3 linked regions of the Arabidopsis thaliana genome follow. The protein of the gene in region 2 interacts with the protein of the main gene of each other region in a pairwise test. Each region holds a gene or a part of one and is shown on either strand. Other genes may lie near its edges. The genes, in order: AT1G68810, LHW and BHLH32.

Region 1 (4,759 bases), on a different chromosome or scaffold from region 2:
TATCTTTGTAGAATCCAACAAACTAATAAAATTCATCTCATTTTATGTCGCTCTAACAACATGACCAGCTGAGCCCTAATTGCAAGTCTCCACAAAACTTAGAAATCTTCTAAGTTTTTGGTTTGATAATGAAGACGTAATTAACATAAATTAAAATTAAATTCAAGGTTGTCTATAGAGAAAGCCAAAAGAGGAGTCAGTACTAGTCTACTAGACAATTCACATGACCGTCACTTAGGTAAAAATGTTAAAAGACAAATGAAATGGCAGTTAGGGTACAATAGTACGTAAGTAGTACTAAATGATCATAATTATTAATAACGTCGACGTACTTCACTTCATGATGCAAGCTTAACACAAATACGACGTCAATTACGTATGTTCCTCGTCATGACCAATCTCAATCACAATCACTTATCATCCCTATAAATTTACACATTTCTTTAATAACAAATTTTAAATACTTCGATCAAGGACGTGCTCATGTGCAACACATAAAACATAACACACTTACAAAATAAAACTCTGGTTAGAATACCATGTTAAATTTCATGGACCAACCTAAAAAACTAATTGGCTACGTCCTTTATATCTTAGTCTTGGTCCCGATGTTTACCTCATACCAGTCCATGATGCAAATTTATATAAAGCAAAATATTTGAATATATGTAAATCGTTACACGAAAAAGATTCTACAGAACACATAAATACACAAGGCAAAAGAGTCAGAGAAGCATCAACGTACGAAGCTCAGAATCCCAAATTTGTCTCTTTTTGTTTTTCCCCCGGACAGAACCCGACTAAATCAATTAATGATACACATCATCTTTGGTACGTTTCCTGTTCTTCTTCATTGTCTCTTTTTGGTCTCATTCACACAATTGCAAAAATAAGCCAAAATTAAATTCAAATCCTCCCACATGACAAGAGAAAACGAATTTTCCAAACCCATGCATTGCCTTACAGAAATCATACTTTTTTTTCGTCACATACTCCCATTAAGCATATCTAGAAAACCAACTCAACGATACAAGTTTTTAAAAATAAGTATCTTAGAACCAAACCAAAAGTCCAAGACCACAACGGATACAAATACTTCCGTTATACATACACACAAACACACATATATCTATAGTATAACGTGACGTACAACATTCATTTCCATAACCAGCAAACAACACACGTAGTAGATACACCGAAAGTAAGAAAAAAAAAGCGATTTAAGTAAAAAATTGATTACCTCTGATTATATTGTTGTTGTTGTTCGACGATAGTGATAGTGTTGTGACTACTCATTCTCTGTCTCTTAGCATTTCCAGAAGAAGATGATTCCTCTACATTGCTCTTCTCCATCACCGCTTTCAAAGCTTCCTCAATCGTCCCTATACAGTACTCTTCCTCCACTTCCTCACCGGAGCTCTCTTCTCCGGTAACAAACAAAACGTTCTTGACTCGTCCCCCAACGGTGGTTATCTCCGCCTTGAGCGTTTTGAGACGCATAGCTTTCAATGTTTTAATCATGTCAGGCAAGAGATCCGACCTGTCTTCACAGCAAAGCGACGCTTTAATTACAAATCTGCCATCTCCGGTTTCTTCCTCCTCCGTGAAAGCTACCGTTAACTCATCGCTTTCCGTTGGGACAAGATTTGTCTCTGAGATCACTGAAGTCTCTCTCTTCAACTCTTTCACATGTTGGATCACTTCAGCTAGTAACGACGCTTTATCCGTCTGCATTAAAAAAAACGAAGAAAAAACATATTTGTATAGTTTCGAGGAGAAAATTATGTGGTCGTAGAAGTTATGATTTGGTCCGGCAATAAGACTTTTTATGCTTTTTAAGCAGCGCCGGTTGTTTCTCTTTATTACATCAATTAACCAAACGACGACATAGACGTTCCATATTCCTTGCTTTTTTATTTATACTACAGTCTCTGACTGATTCTCTCTCGGGACTTTAACAAATACCCACAAGATCATTGATCAAAACAGAAAACCTTTGAATAACTTACTTCTCCTTTTATAAAACCTAAATGTAAAAAAATAAAAAGAGACAAAATGTGACATAAACTTTCATGTCGCAGCTACTATGTTTTTCCACTTAAACTCTACATTGTTTTAGTATTATTTTTTATTTACAAAAAACTTAAACGGTGTGTGATTGATGAATGTTTTTACTTATGTATGAAAATTTATGTTATAAAAATTTTGGACTTACTTTGGTGGTGTTGGGTAATATGCTACGGAGCTTAGCGAGATGATTATTGATTCTCTCTCTTCTTCTTCTCTCAGCTTCACTATGACTCTTTGAAGCAGCCAAAGCTTTAGCGTCCATGATCTCTTGTGCTGTCATCTTCCCTAACTCAGCTTGTAACCCAAAAGGACCGGACCCGGCTTGTACTACCGGACCTAAAGCTTCCGACAAGATCCGAAGTTGTTCATGATGATGATGTGCTGCTGACGTGGCTCCACCAAAACCCTCGTACCCAAACTGTAATCCCTGATGATGAGCTCGACTTCTGTTGAAGAAACTTCCGTAGAAAGATGCTGGAGAAGAAGAAGGAGGAGGAAACTGATCAAATGGTGGTTGGATCGAGGTAGGTGGAGGTAGAGACCATATTGGAGAGACGGAATCTTGAGAGAAGATAGTGAAACCAGATCCAACGTTACCGGATGCTCCCAAAGTTTCAGATTGAGAAGGATCATGATGATGATGGTGATGATGAGAGATGAGTTGGTGAAAGAAGAGGTCATTTTGGTAATTTTGTATGTTGTTCATGGCTTCAGAACTGTCTTCTTCTTCTTCTTCTTCTTCTTCTTTCTTAGCGCACATATCACTTGTTTCTATGAAGACATGAGAGTCTTCATCTTTCAACTCTTTGTCCTCTTCTCTCTCTCTATATATGTATATATATATGTGTGTAAGAGAAAGGAAAGGTTGGTAAAAGAAGGTAGGAGAAGAAACGAAAGTTAAGAGAGTTAAAAAGAGACAAAAGTTTGCTTTCAAATGTTGTAGACGCAGACATATATAGGAAACTCATGCGTTTGTTTGTTACCAATGGTTTGCAGGATATGTGGAGTTTGCAACTTGTGTTTTGTGTTGTGGTGGAATTATTAAAAAGGTAAAAAAAAAAAGGTAATGGGTTTAAGATTCTTTAGATTATCTATCTTTTAATTTACGCATTTAGTACTTCACGGTCTATTTCTATTTCTATTTCTAATAAGTATATGGACAAGCAATGCGATCGCCAAATATCCATACACAGAAAAATAATTTGTATATATAAAAAGACACAAAAAGAATTTATATATACAAAATGACACATAATACATATCTTTTAAATTTGTTTCAGAGCATCGAAAATATATGAGTCGGCACTATACAGATTTAATTGATTTATATAAATAAAATCTACGCTATAGCACTAAACTAGGTATTAGAGACCACATAATATACGTTACAAATTTGTAGGTATCAACAAAAAATTGATTATTTGTCTTCTATTAGACCACTAACTAGTTATGGGAGAGCACATAACATTGTGTAGGATAGTGATTTGGTTATCTTTTTTTTTTGGTCAATTGTTTTCTCGTTGATATAAAACCATGATACTAATTAACAAATATTAACCAAATTCATGTAATCTAATAATTGATACTAATGTTTCCTTATGTCATCATCCGAATTCAAATCCTCATAACTAAATATTATGACCCTATTATATTGATAAGGCAAATGAGTTCTGACCATAAGGAATTAATGGGCTAAATGAGTTAGATTGTAAAAGATTTATGATTCACCAATATTTACCCACATTTTGTTAAAAACTAAAAAAAAAAGTAAATGATATTCGTTTCTTATTATATTCATGATATCATAATATTATCATATCATCACCATCATACCCCATTATCATCATCATGATCATATAATTTCACAATTTGTTTTTTTTGGTCAAAAACTGAATTTCAATGAATCGTGAATTATGTAATTTCGCAACTTCCAGCTAAAAGTATTTCATAATAATTATTGCTAAAAACACAAATCCACAATTTTCCGCTATATTCAATGTTTCGTAAAAACATGATTTTTGCAGAGAAAACTATATTTTTGTTTTGTTTTGCAAAAGCACGATTCCAAAATTTTGTGCCATAAAGGTGATTTCAAAATTATGATGATAATGGAGATGGTATGAAATGATGATCGTTATGTTATGATGATGATAAAAATGATAATGCGATGATGATGTGAAGACAATGAACGTATCACATATGATACCGATTGTAATAACTATTAATTATGAAAATATGTGATAAATTATTACAAAAATATTTTATGGGTAGAACTATTTTATCATTTTGATTTTCGACCCATCAAATTAGATAGATTAATAGGCATTTACCTCCCCTCATACCAGAAACTAGAACATTTTATATGGTCAACCTATTTACTAAATGGCTTACGTTCTTCGTTCACCTAGTTAACATTCACCCCATAAACATTATGGATCAAATTGGACTGGATTACCCATATTGTCACCTATAAATAAACAAAATTTAACATAAAATTAAATGCTTGCAAAATACTAGTGTCAAGTGCTAATAGTAAACTCGTCTTAAAGTTACAATTGTTATAACTTATAACATAATTTACAAAAGGTTTATATTATGGATTTTATATATATATATATATCTAGATTTAAAATTTATATTTTACAAGCTCTAGGTCTTCATTTGGAATTTATTCATACACATTTTACAA
Region 2 (6,237 bases):
GGAAGAAAATTGAAGGGCCCAAGAAAAATATAATGAATTTTAGTGAATCATAATGTGCTGTCGATTATCCCATCATAATCTATAGAGTGGAGAGATGGCTAAAGCAAGACACAAAGATGTTCATGCACCTTTTGCAGCAAAGTTTAGGTACCTCAAAAGTGTAAATAAAGCATTTTTGAGACAACAAACAAAAACGCAGTTTTGAGAATTTGATGTTGGACTAAGTTTGATCCACTAATTAGTAGTATGAAGAAAATGTAAATATTAGGAATGGATTAAGACATCCATTAGAGATTATGAATTCACATGATAGCACATTATAAGGCTGTTAACAAAAGTATTATAACTAACTATTATTAGCTTTTCTTCTATAGGCCTCACGTTTCTTAATAAAGAGTGTGTTTTATTGAAAGTAGAGCTTCTTGTGTTTTTTTTTTTAATAATAAGCTAATTATATACATAGAGTTACTAATCAAAGTAACATAAAGGTACTTGTAACATGTGAAGCTTTGTTGTGTACTGTTAAAGCTGTTGATGGACCGGTTCTTTTTACCGGTCTTGAAATCCGTGAATTGTTTGAACTCTTACTGGTCGAGAATAATTTTAAACAATTTAACTAAATTTTTTACAACTCCAAAACTGAATTAAAATTAAAAAATTCCACACAAATGAAAATTCGCAACTAATGTACAAAACATAAAGTTGAGAAAAAAAAACACACTTAAAAATCATCATCTCTGGTTTAGACTGACTTTTTAGTTAGTCATAGCGAGCCTAAAATCCTTGAGAGCGGTCCGCTCGTAACCTCTATATGAATCAAGCTTTTAACCAGCCCGGTTTATTAAACCGGAGCAATCCGGTACGGTCAATAATTTGTGTCATTACATTGAACAGCCACCAGTAACCGGTAAAGGCATTGTAGCTTTGATACCATCCAAAATAGTCTTAGAGTTTCCTCCACATTTCATTGTCTGCTCCAAAATATTCACTAGTTGCATGAATATTTCCATCCTCGTCACGTCGCGACTCGCCTACAATCCAATATCGACCCGGTTTCAGTTTAAATAAGATACATTCTAACACAATCTCATCTTTCCAAGTTAAACAACCTTGTGTAACTTATATAATATACCTCAACAGTGAAGCGAGCCCAAATCTTGTCTACTCGAGTTTCGATGACTCCCTTCAAGATCGTTAACCCTAAGCTTCTGATCCAATCTGCGATTTCTAGAAAGAATCCTCGTTGCTCGCATAACATCTGTTACAAAACCAGAAAACGTTCGATCAAAACCGAGATCTTGAGTGTTTTTTATTAAGAACCTTAGGCAGAAATGTTACCTCGACTTGGAAAATGCGAGGCGGGTTTATATCTTCTACGACAATTGGACACACCATAGACTTTGACCCTACTTCGAAAGCCCATGTTGCTCCTCCACCGTCCTCTTTCATAATCTTATAACAATACAACAAACGTTAGATCAAGAATCCATGAGAGACACCAAAATATTATTGTTTTATGTTATACCTTGGATTCCCCGGTTTGCTTCAGCTTATCAGAATGCTTGGAGACATTTTGCAAGAAGAGCATGTGCTTGATTGTACGTTCAAGGAGTGCATCAATGCTACACTGTTAAATAAAAACCACATGTACTCTTTGTTAGTAATAACCTTTCTTAGGGATTGTTTAATTTGCCAAGAACAGATAAGTTTTTCACTTACTTTTGCACCGTTTGGTATTATTTCACGCAGCTCTTTGACACGATCTTGGATCATTTGGCGATCTTTAGGCCTTGGTCTTGGGTTCTCTCCTGGTTTAAGCCTTTTCCGGTTATTAGCCGGTTTTGCAGTTTCATTCTTGTTCACCATCCTTGGACTGCCCTCACGCTTCAAGCTGTGCGCTTGTTCAACCCAAGAACTTATCTGAGACCCGTAGACCGATGATGGCCCCAATGGTTGCCCATGTTTCTTCTCAAATAACTGGCTACCTTGAGGGCTACTGTGAGACGGCGTGGTAACCGAAGAATTACTAACTTTAGTCAAGGTGGTTTTGCAGGACTCGGAAGTTTCGTCTGAGATCTGCTTTGTGGAGGAGCAAGCACCCGAGACCACGGCATCTAACAGATGATCTGTTCCTGAAAGTTCATACCCCGAAGAACCGAACTCAGGGTCCATTTCTTGAATGATCCGAAAGTCGGATAACTCTCTAGTGAGTACTTCTGTTCTCATCTGTGAAACTCCCCAACTGTTGTCACAACCTTTGTTCTTATCATCCAAACCCAACATATCAAACAAGTCGTCGCTTCCAAGCGAGCGTTTCGAACTGATGTCTTCACATGGGATTTGTTGCTGCTCTGCTGCATCCACATTAGACATACAAGAGAAGTTTTGATTCAGCCACGCATCTGGATTTGAAGGTACTGCAACTTCTCCAGCTGTTAGAAATCCTGTTGTGCTTTGCCATCCTCCTTCATGTTCATCCACAAGATTACAGGGAGATTCTTCAACCATTTGATGATCTGATGATCCAGTGGAGTTGAAATGTTGTTTGCTAGTTTCAGCTACGAAAGCCGAAGATTGGAGGATCTTATGTCCTTGAGAAGGTATTATCCGAGACACTGGCACTCCAATAAAATCAGCAGCAGGTTCATATGTTCTGTAGTTTTCAGATAAGAGAGCCCCCGGAACACATCCGAGCTGCAGGATAAGACCCTTCACGTCATTCACAAACCCCAAGTTCTCCATAATCTGAACACACAAAAAACAATTCACAGTTAAATCAAGAACAAGAATCTCACTTCACATAACAATGTAACTTGAACTTACAGGCAGAGAGGAACCGAGCTGAACAACACCGTGAGGAACAACCGGAAAAACTGCAACAGTCTGAAGAACAAACAAAATAAGCACACACAAACAGTTCTTATGAGCTTGAACATATATATACACTAAAGAAGCCTAACTTAGGATGTTCAAAACATGAAGAAAGTATCAAACCTGAATACCAGCAGAGAATTGGAGAAGCATCTCATTAATAACCTCGGGTGGATGAACATCGCGGTTAAAACTGTTAGCTAGAATCCATTGATGATGTCCAGTAAATGCAGCTCGGCCAACTAGACCTTCACCTACCAAAATGATTCGATTGTTCAACATCATTCGGTTTGTAAGCAACTGAACTTTCTCATTCCCTTGTGTATCAACACCAAGTCCACAAAGTCTTCTAGGATTCGAGCTCGATTCGGTTTCATTGTAACATTCCTCCCAAATCAACAAGCTGCACAAAAACAAGTAAAAAAAACACATCAAAAAAAAAAAATTAGAATACACATGACAAAAATATGCAACAATCGTTTAAGTTAGAATACCACAAAAAGACGATTACAAAAGATTTTGGGCTAAACAAAGACAAAACGAACAAAGACAAGAAATAAAAATTGAAATGACAAGAGAGTTAAAGAACTTGAACTCTTTAGACAATTCATAAACAAATAATAAGGATATAGTTATTGTCGACAAAACAACTACAAATCGAAAGATTCTTTAAGACAAACAAGATCAAACCAAACACAAAACTCCAAGAATTAAACAGAGATAAATAATTCTAGTCATCCTCGAGATCTGAGTTTTAAACCCTTATCAAAAAATTCTCAAACTTTAAACTAACAAACACTGAATATATTTGACTGAATAAAGTTTGACACTTTATTAGAATTAGGAGAATAAGAGTGGTACCTAGAATTTTGACAGCCAATTTTCCAGAAAACAGCATAAGACCATTGATTATTAACACACATAGACCTTAAAGCTTCTCTTAGTAAAACTCCCATAGCTTTTCTCTTTCTCTTCTCTCTTCTTTAAGCTCCAACAAGAACAAACTTTTTCACTTGCAACAGTGCAATTTCAAACTGCCCAGAAGAAAAAAATCGAAACTTTAGGTCTAAAAACAAAACTTTTTAACAAATCTACAACAATCAATAAAAACCCATTATTACATTCTTTAAGAGGAAAATGGATTTGAACAAAGACTAACTTCCACGGCAAGATCCTCTTCCAGCTTGTTTTGTCCTAAGTCCTCCACTTTGTTTTCTTTCAGGATCTAAACTAAAAGCGATCATACTCCGACATGCCATTACTTCCGGTAATAAGGAAGAGAAAAAAAAACTCAAAACCCCAGAAAAGAAAAATACAAGAAACTAGTTAATCTTCTTCACAAGATGCTCCAAGCTTCAAGCTTTAAGATTCCAGTAACACCAGCCATTGATAAAACTTGAAGAAAATTAGAAGAAGATGGAGAAGAAAGCAAATGGAGATTATTTGTCTTTGTTTTTTCTCTGCTTTAATGTTTCTTTTCTCTGCTTCTTGGTGAAAAAAAGATTGAAAAATGAGGAAAAAGTACCATCTTATTAAAAACAAAGAACACGATGAATTCGAGAAAGGGTATCAATGTTTAGTAGAAATTACAGGATTGTGCCACTGAGTGGGGTAGTCGAAGTCTTTTGTCTTTTTCCGATGGTGCTAGACGAATAATTTATTGTTTTTTTCGTGAGGTAATATCCTAAAAGTTTGTTTTTAGATAAAAACAAAAGAGATAAAGAAAAAAAGTGTACCCTCGGAGATAAATTAAAAGACGTTCCTAAATATAATTATTAAAAATATATATGTATATATATATATTAAAATATTTAATAACGGCATAAGTCTAGAAGTTAGAGGATTTGTAGGATTATGGATTGTCAATAAATAAAAGAGATTTTCATTTTCTGGTATTGCTTCCCGTACACACAAATAATAAATACACATAAGTTCAAGGTGTTTAATATTGAGCTTATATTTAAAATAGGCATTTTAAATAAAGTTATTTCAAAATAGGTATTTTCCACAGTTGAATACAACAGTGTCGATTTATTGCTTCAATCGGGACAATTTTGTCCCTGTCTTTTTTTCCTTCTCTTCTTCTTCATCGTCTTCTTTCTTCTTCTTCTTTATCGAACATAGTTGCAAAATCTGATTAAATCGATTTCTTCTTTGTTTTTCAAGCAAACTTAATTTTTCTTTTTAATTACACAATACTAAACCCTAAGATAATATATAGGGAACCCAATCGAAAAAATTTATAGATTTTATGGAACTTTAGTTCTGATTTTGTGGAATTTCGGTTCTGATTTTAGAGAATTTCAGTTCTGTCCACATGACTACGATAGGCTGTGTCCATGGCGGAAATAAAGAAGCTTTCTTTGTTGCGACTTAACCTTCGTAAGCAAAGTTGGAATCTTTTCCCACCCAGAGTCTTCCTATACCAAGAATAAATCGGTTCACAAATAACAATGAGTTGAAACCGGTTTTTGAATATCGTCTCACCTGTCTTTTTCAAATTACCAGTAATCACCACAAGTCCATTCTTGAAATGATGAAACCGGTTTAAATCCCTCACAATGATCTCTCTCTCAGTGATTTTCCATATAAAAACTTGGATTCTTGAAAATCCGAGTTGTTGTCTTTGCAGGAGTGGCGATTTAGAAGATGATGCATATATCGCCATTGTTTCAATTGAATATAGGGAACACACACGATTTATTGCTTCAATTGGTGATGCAAATATCGAATATAGGAAACAGACACGACTTATTGCTTCAATTGGGTAAAAGATAATGCAAATGAGAGGAGGATAAGGATGACTTTTCACAAGAGAAAAGTACCTCTTTCGAAAATCATGTAAGGAAATACCTTAAAATAAATATATAACCAAGACAAATGCCTATTTTCTAATAAACTCTTTAATATTTAGATTATTTTATTATTTATCATGTTAAATTAAATTCTGAAAAACTCATTAACACTTTAATTTAACATCAAGCAATTCGTAATTACTAATTTAAAGATTTAACTTAGTTATATACTGATATTTTAGTGGGTGCAAAAAGGTCCAAACCATATTATTTTTTAATAGATTATTAACTACTTTTACTATGTACTAAGTTTTTTTTTCCCCATAAAAACGATCTATAATTACTATGATATTTTTAACAGAAAAACTATGAACATTATACTGAATCACTAAAAGAACATCGTAATACTTTGACCACAATAAAATAAAATAAAGATATAATTTGAGCATTGGGAGGTTTTTAGAAGGCACCACACCGAATGATTTCAAGTAATCTTGACAGTTTTTTTAAATGTAACTGCCAGTATGTTACAAAAGGATAATGAAAGTTCTGCGGGAAGATGGACCGTAGA
Region 3 (4,523 bases), on a different chromosome or scaffold from region 2:
AAGAAAACACCAAATTAATAAGCCCATTTTTTTGGTTCTACGTTGAATTTTGGACTAAAGGAAAAACCAGTAGATACAAAATGACGAGATCATGACGTAATGTGCTTGTGGTATCAACCGTCTCTGTAATATTGTAATAAATAACGTAAGTCAGTAACGGCGAAAGAGACAATATTATCAGAGATCCCAAAACTAAGTTTCTATAAATAGAACTAAGATCTAAGTTTTCACTTCTCACGAAAAAGATTCGATCTACTACTACTCTCGATTTCACTTGATATAACTTACACAAATCTTCCGTCACATAACTCTCTACATCAATCTAATTTAAGAAATATCACATTAATTATATATCGGATGTGAAGAAAAAATTGTGGTTTTAAAAAATATGTAGAAACTGAGGAAATAAATTATAGAGTAAGTACGACATAGACTATTTCTCCCATGCACATTTAAAAACTGATTTCGACATAATCGTTGTAGTTTGTCAGAAAAAATAACAATGGATATGCGTAAGAGATTTCTTTATGTCATTTCTCTTATATCAGTCACAATAGAAAATAAATTGACAAGTATAAAACTATACTCTATACTATTACTACGTAGTGTTGTTGCTTATAAACAAAAGATTAAATAGTTGCAGAGTTCATGAATATGATAAATAAAACTTCTTGATAAATTAATACAAACCCAAGCTCTATACATTTCCTATATTAATTAAGACGATAAAATGTCTTAACTACCATATATAAACCAAACTCATCACTATAAAACCCTAAACAAAGGGTTCTTCATAGATTAAAAAAACATAGAAGAAGAAACCCAATCCCAACTACTAAAAACACCGAAAATAATACTAATATCACCAACCCATAATCAAATCCCATTTTGCAAGTCTAATTAACTAACCCTAGTTAATAAAGACTTGACTTAATTAACTAATTATAACATCGATTCACCATCTTACTAGTCCTTTGCCTCTTAATACCCCCTGAAGATGATTTCTCCAAGTTATTGTTATCGTTACTTTCATCATTATTATGAACACACTTCTCTATAACCGCCTTTAACGCTTCTTCTATCGAACTCACACGATTATTCATCATCCTCTCTTCATCATAATCCTCCACGTCATCACCATCGAAGTTTCTACGATATGAATCATGATCTTCTTCATCATCGTATTCTCGGCTCAAGAACAAGATGTTCTTGACTCTACCACCTACGGTTGCGATCTCAGCTTTGAGAGTTCGAAGACGAAGAGACTTTAAGGCATTGATGACGTCATGCATGAGGTCAGTCCTGTCTTGGCAGCAAAAGGATGCTCTTATCACCAAGTTTCCTTCCTCGTCGTTGTAAGACGAATCTACGGTCAGATCATCGCACTCTGTTGGGACTTGATACGTGTCGGTGATCTGTGATGTTTGTCGTTTTAGCTCCTTCATGTGTTGGATCACTTCCGCTAGCAAAGAAGCTTTGTCCGTCTATACAAAACCAAAACGAATCATAAGTATTTAATCTTCTTATTCTTCTTCTTCAATAATAATAACTAGTACAAAAATACCCCATCTGTGGACTATAATTACTTACCAAAAATATCGATTTGATACATTTATTTTAAATTTGAAAATTTACAACTACTAAACGATAATAGTTGAACAGAGATAGATAAAAATGATAATATTGAAAAATATAGTACTTATCATTTTTGAAACTGAATAATTAGTACTATATTTATCAGAAAAAGAACAATTACTACTACTCTCTTTATTAAAAAACAACAACAATTACTACTACTCTAACCAATAATAACTAAATAAAGAGAAATTTTGAAGGATCATTAATTAATTAAAACTATTTTTCCATAGGGTTTTCAAAATAGTGAATTAGTTTCTGAAATATCAAACCATAATGAAAGGAGAAGAGTGTTTATTTATAAACGACTTACTTTGGTTGTGTTTGGTAATATACTACGCAGCTTAGCAAGATGAGTGTTGATTCTCTCTCGTCTTCTTCTCTCAGCTTCACTATGACTCTTTGAAGCAGCTAAAGCCTTAGCATCCATGACTTCTTGTGCACTCAATTTTCCCATGATCTCACCATCGAACCCAAAGGACGAGCCACGACGCATGATGGGTCCAAGAGCTTCGGATAAAATCCTTAGATGGTTCTGAGGATGATCCATGGAAGGAGGAGGAGAGACAAAACCGTCGTTATAGTCAAAAGAAGAAGAGGAAGAAGAAGCTCTTCTGTTGAAGTAGTGAACCGGGTCAGAATAACGGGTCGGGTTAGATGGGAAATGGAGTGGGTCAAAAGAAGGTAAAGATGTCGACGACCAGGGGAGAATTTGTGGATGATGATGAAGATGAAACTGGTCTTGATAGTCTTGTAAGTTGTGAAATGTTTGAAGACAGTCTTCTTCTTTCATTGCGTACATTTTTTGGTTTTTTTGGTTTTTTAGTTTTTGGGAGAAAGAGAATTTTAGAGAAGAAGAGACAAAAGGTCACAAACATCCCATTTGATAATGCATACACATGTGTATATATAGTGCTATATAATGTGTCCTTAATTTTTAAACAAAATTTATTTGATATTTTAATATTAAAGAATTCTTTCCAAAAAACCTTTTTCACCGGGTTATACAATCAGACCGCCATTATCTTTGATCACATCAAGGAGAATTGTGAGAAATAACGTATGAACTTAGTTCCATATAAAATGGCAGAATAGTATAGTGATTACGCAAAAAATATTATGTAACCTGAATTTATTTTCAACTATAATGTACCGTTAATGGATTTTTGATGTATTGCTGTATTCCAAATTTTTTAATTAAAAGTTAGTGGTTTTTCCTGTTTAATAAAAAAATCTATCATTTTCTTTGATTAAAATGTTATATATTACAGGTTTTTATGGGACCACTCTTTTTTTTTTTCTGGTATATCTAACAAAACAAATGAAACTGCAAGTGCTGCACATCTTCTTTGCTTTTCTTTTACGACTTCTAAATGGGGAGCTGTCATCATCTTGTGGATTTCTCTGATGGATTTGGCTTCCTATGAATATTATTATTTATTTATGTTCTTAAGAATTGATTTCATGTTAATGAATAGAAGATTTTTGTGCCTTTTCTACTTAAGTTAATCGTATTTAGGATAAAGTTCATGCGATTTGTAAATGAGGAATACCACGCCACCACTATATCAAAATATTATTTAGCAAAAAAAATACTAATTCAAAATATTTCGATATGCATGGTTATATATTAATCGTAACAGTTGATAATATATACAGTTATTTTCGTATATATTAAGATCTGTGAAATGCGATCAAGAATAATATGCAATAGTAGAAAATCATGATTTTAGCAAGATGATTCTGGTCAGCACCTAATTCATAGGCAAAAATAATAGTTGACAAAGTTATTTCATTTGAAACTTTTAGAAGTTAGAATGGTCAAATAGACACAATCATGTATACTTATTTATTTTTTTGGCATTTGACATGATCAGGGACCCAAAAGATATTGTCTAAGAACTCTATTTAAGAAAAGAAAAAAAAGTCTCAGATGCTAACTGTGAAAATAAAAGATGATGTCCAAAATTGTAACTAAGGTGTTTTTCTTCATCAAAACAAAGTTTTTTTTTATCTTGGGTTAAACCTAATCTAAGATTGTAAGCAAATCAAGAGCATTTCGTCTGCCTAATTTCTATAAGTATAATAAGAAATTTTCGAGTTTATACCACGACTCTACAATTCTACAAAGAAGAGAAGACTAAAGTAGATTTAATTTATATAATCAAACACTCCTACACAATTTGACATGCATTTAAAGGGGAAGAAGAAAGAGGTCATGATTATTGTTTTTTCATCAGGTTCTGAAACAACGCGTTAAAAGAATTTCATTTGGCTGCTTAATGTTTTTGTTTTTTCAGTGGAAAGCATAATAATACTCGAAAATTAACCAAAAGAATAAAAAACAAACACTGACCACAGGACACACGGATTGTCGACCGACCAGAGACCAAAAAGACTTTTACTTTTAATCATTAATAATCCCACTCGTTTCGTATAGCCAAACCCACTTTCTTGTTTTTCTTTCCTTCTTTAATCTAGTTTTTAATCTAATCAAGATTTTCTATGTTATAGATTTGTCTCAAGTGCACCGAAGAGATTCTCTCTTTTATTTAATCTATTCATACATATCCAACGGATAAATTTTGATTATGATCTGAATATATCTTCGAGTGTGTTAGCTTAATTGTCTCATACTAAAGAAGATTCAAATCCTAAAATAATTAGTGAAAATTCTCAAACCTAACTCAAGTTTACCATCCGCCAGTTTATCAAGTAGATGTGCATATAATCATTTTTAAAGAAAAAAAGAGTTAAAAAGACTTATGAAAAAGAGGTAAAAAGACTTATATCATTATATATATAATGAAAAGGAGTGGAAAAACTAAATAGTAGGATACTAAAATGCTACCGGATTCGAGTACTATTTTTGTGAAAGATGAACTATT

What was found.
Region 1: the proteins of LHW (region 2) and AT1G68810 interact in a two-hybrid assay, tested with the Arabidopsis thaliana proteins (one study listed by BioGRID).
Region 3: the proteins of LHW (region 2) and BHLH32 interact in a two-hybrid assay, tested with the Arabidopsis thaliana proteins (one study listed by BioGRID).

What each region holds. Positions count from the first base shown.
Region 1 is NC_003070.9:25,859,360-25,864,118, reverse strand, and holds AT1G68810 (basic helix-loop-helix (bHLH) DNA-binding superfamily protein), read right to left. Parts: upstream 3,026-4,759; 5' UTR 2,831-3,025; coding exon 2,216-2,830; intron 1,729-2,215; coding exon 1,237-1,728; 3' UTR 585-1,236; downstream 1-584.
Region 2 is NC_003071.7:11,648,485-11,654,721, reverse strand, and holds LHW (transcription factor-like protein), read right to left. Parts: upstream 4,364-6,237; 5' UTR 3,993-4,363; intron 3,906-3,992; 5' UTR 3,828-3,905; coding exon 3,733-3,827; intron 3,275-3,732; coding exon 2,995-3,274; intron 2,884-2,994; coding exon 2,824-2,883; intron 2,746-2,823; coding exon 1,720-2,745; intron 1,628-1,719; coding exon 1,526-1,627; intron 1,453-1,525; coding exon 1,339-1,452; intron 1,259-1,338; coding exon 1,133-1,258; intron 1,032-1,132; coding exon 882-1,031; 3' UTR 579-881; downstream 1-578. Other genes in the region: AT2G27229 (Pentatricopeptide repeat (PPR) superfamily protein), read right to left, coding at 5,165-5,539. UniProt on the Arabidopsis thaliana protein: Transcription activator that regulates root development; promotes the production of stele cells in roots. Coordinately controls the number of all vascular cell types by regulating the size of the pool of cells from which they arise.
Region 3 is NC_003074.8:9,367,512-9,372,034, reverse strand, and holds BHLH32 (basic helix-loop-helix 32), read right to left. Parts: upstream 2,537-4,523; 5' UTR 2,438-2,536; coding exon 1,949-2,437; intron 1,485-1,948; coding exon 939-1,484; 3' UTR 548-938; downstream 1-547. UniProt on the Arabidopsis thaliana protein: Transcription factor required for MONOPTEROS-dependent root initiation in embryo. Transcriptionally controlled by MONOPTEROS.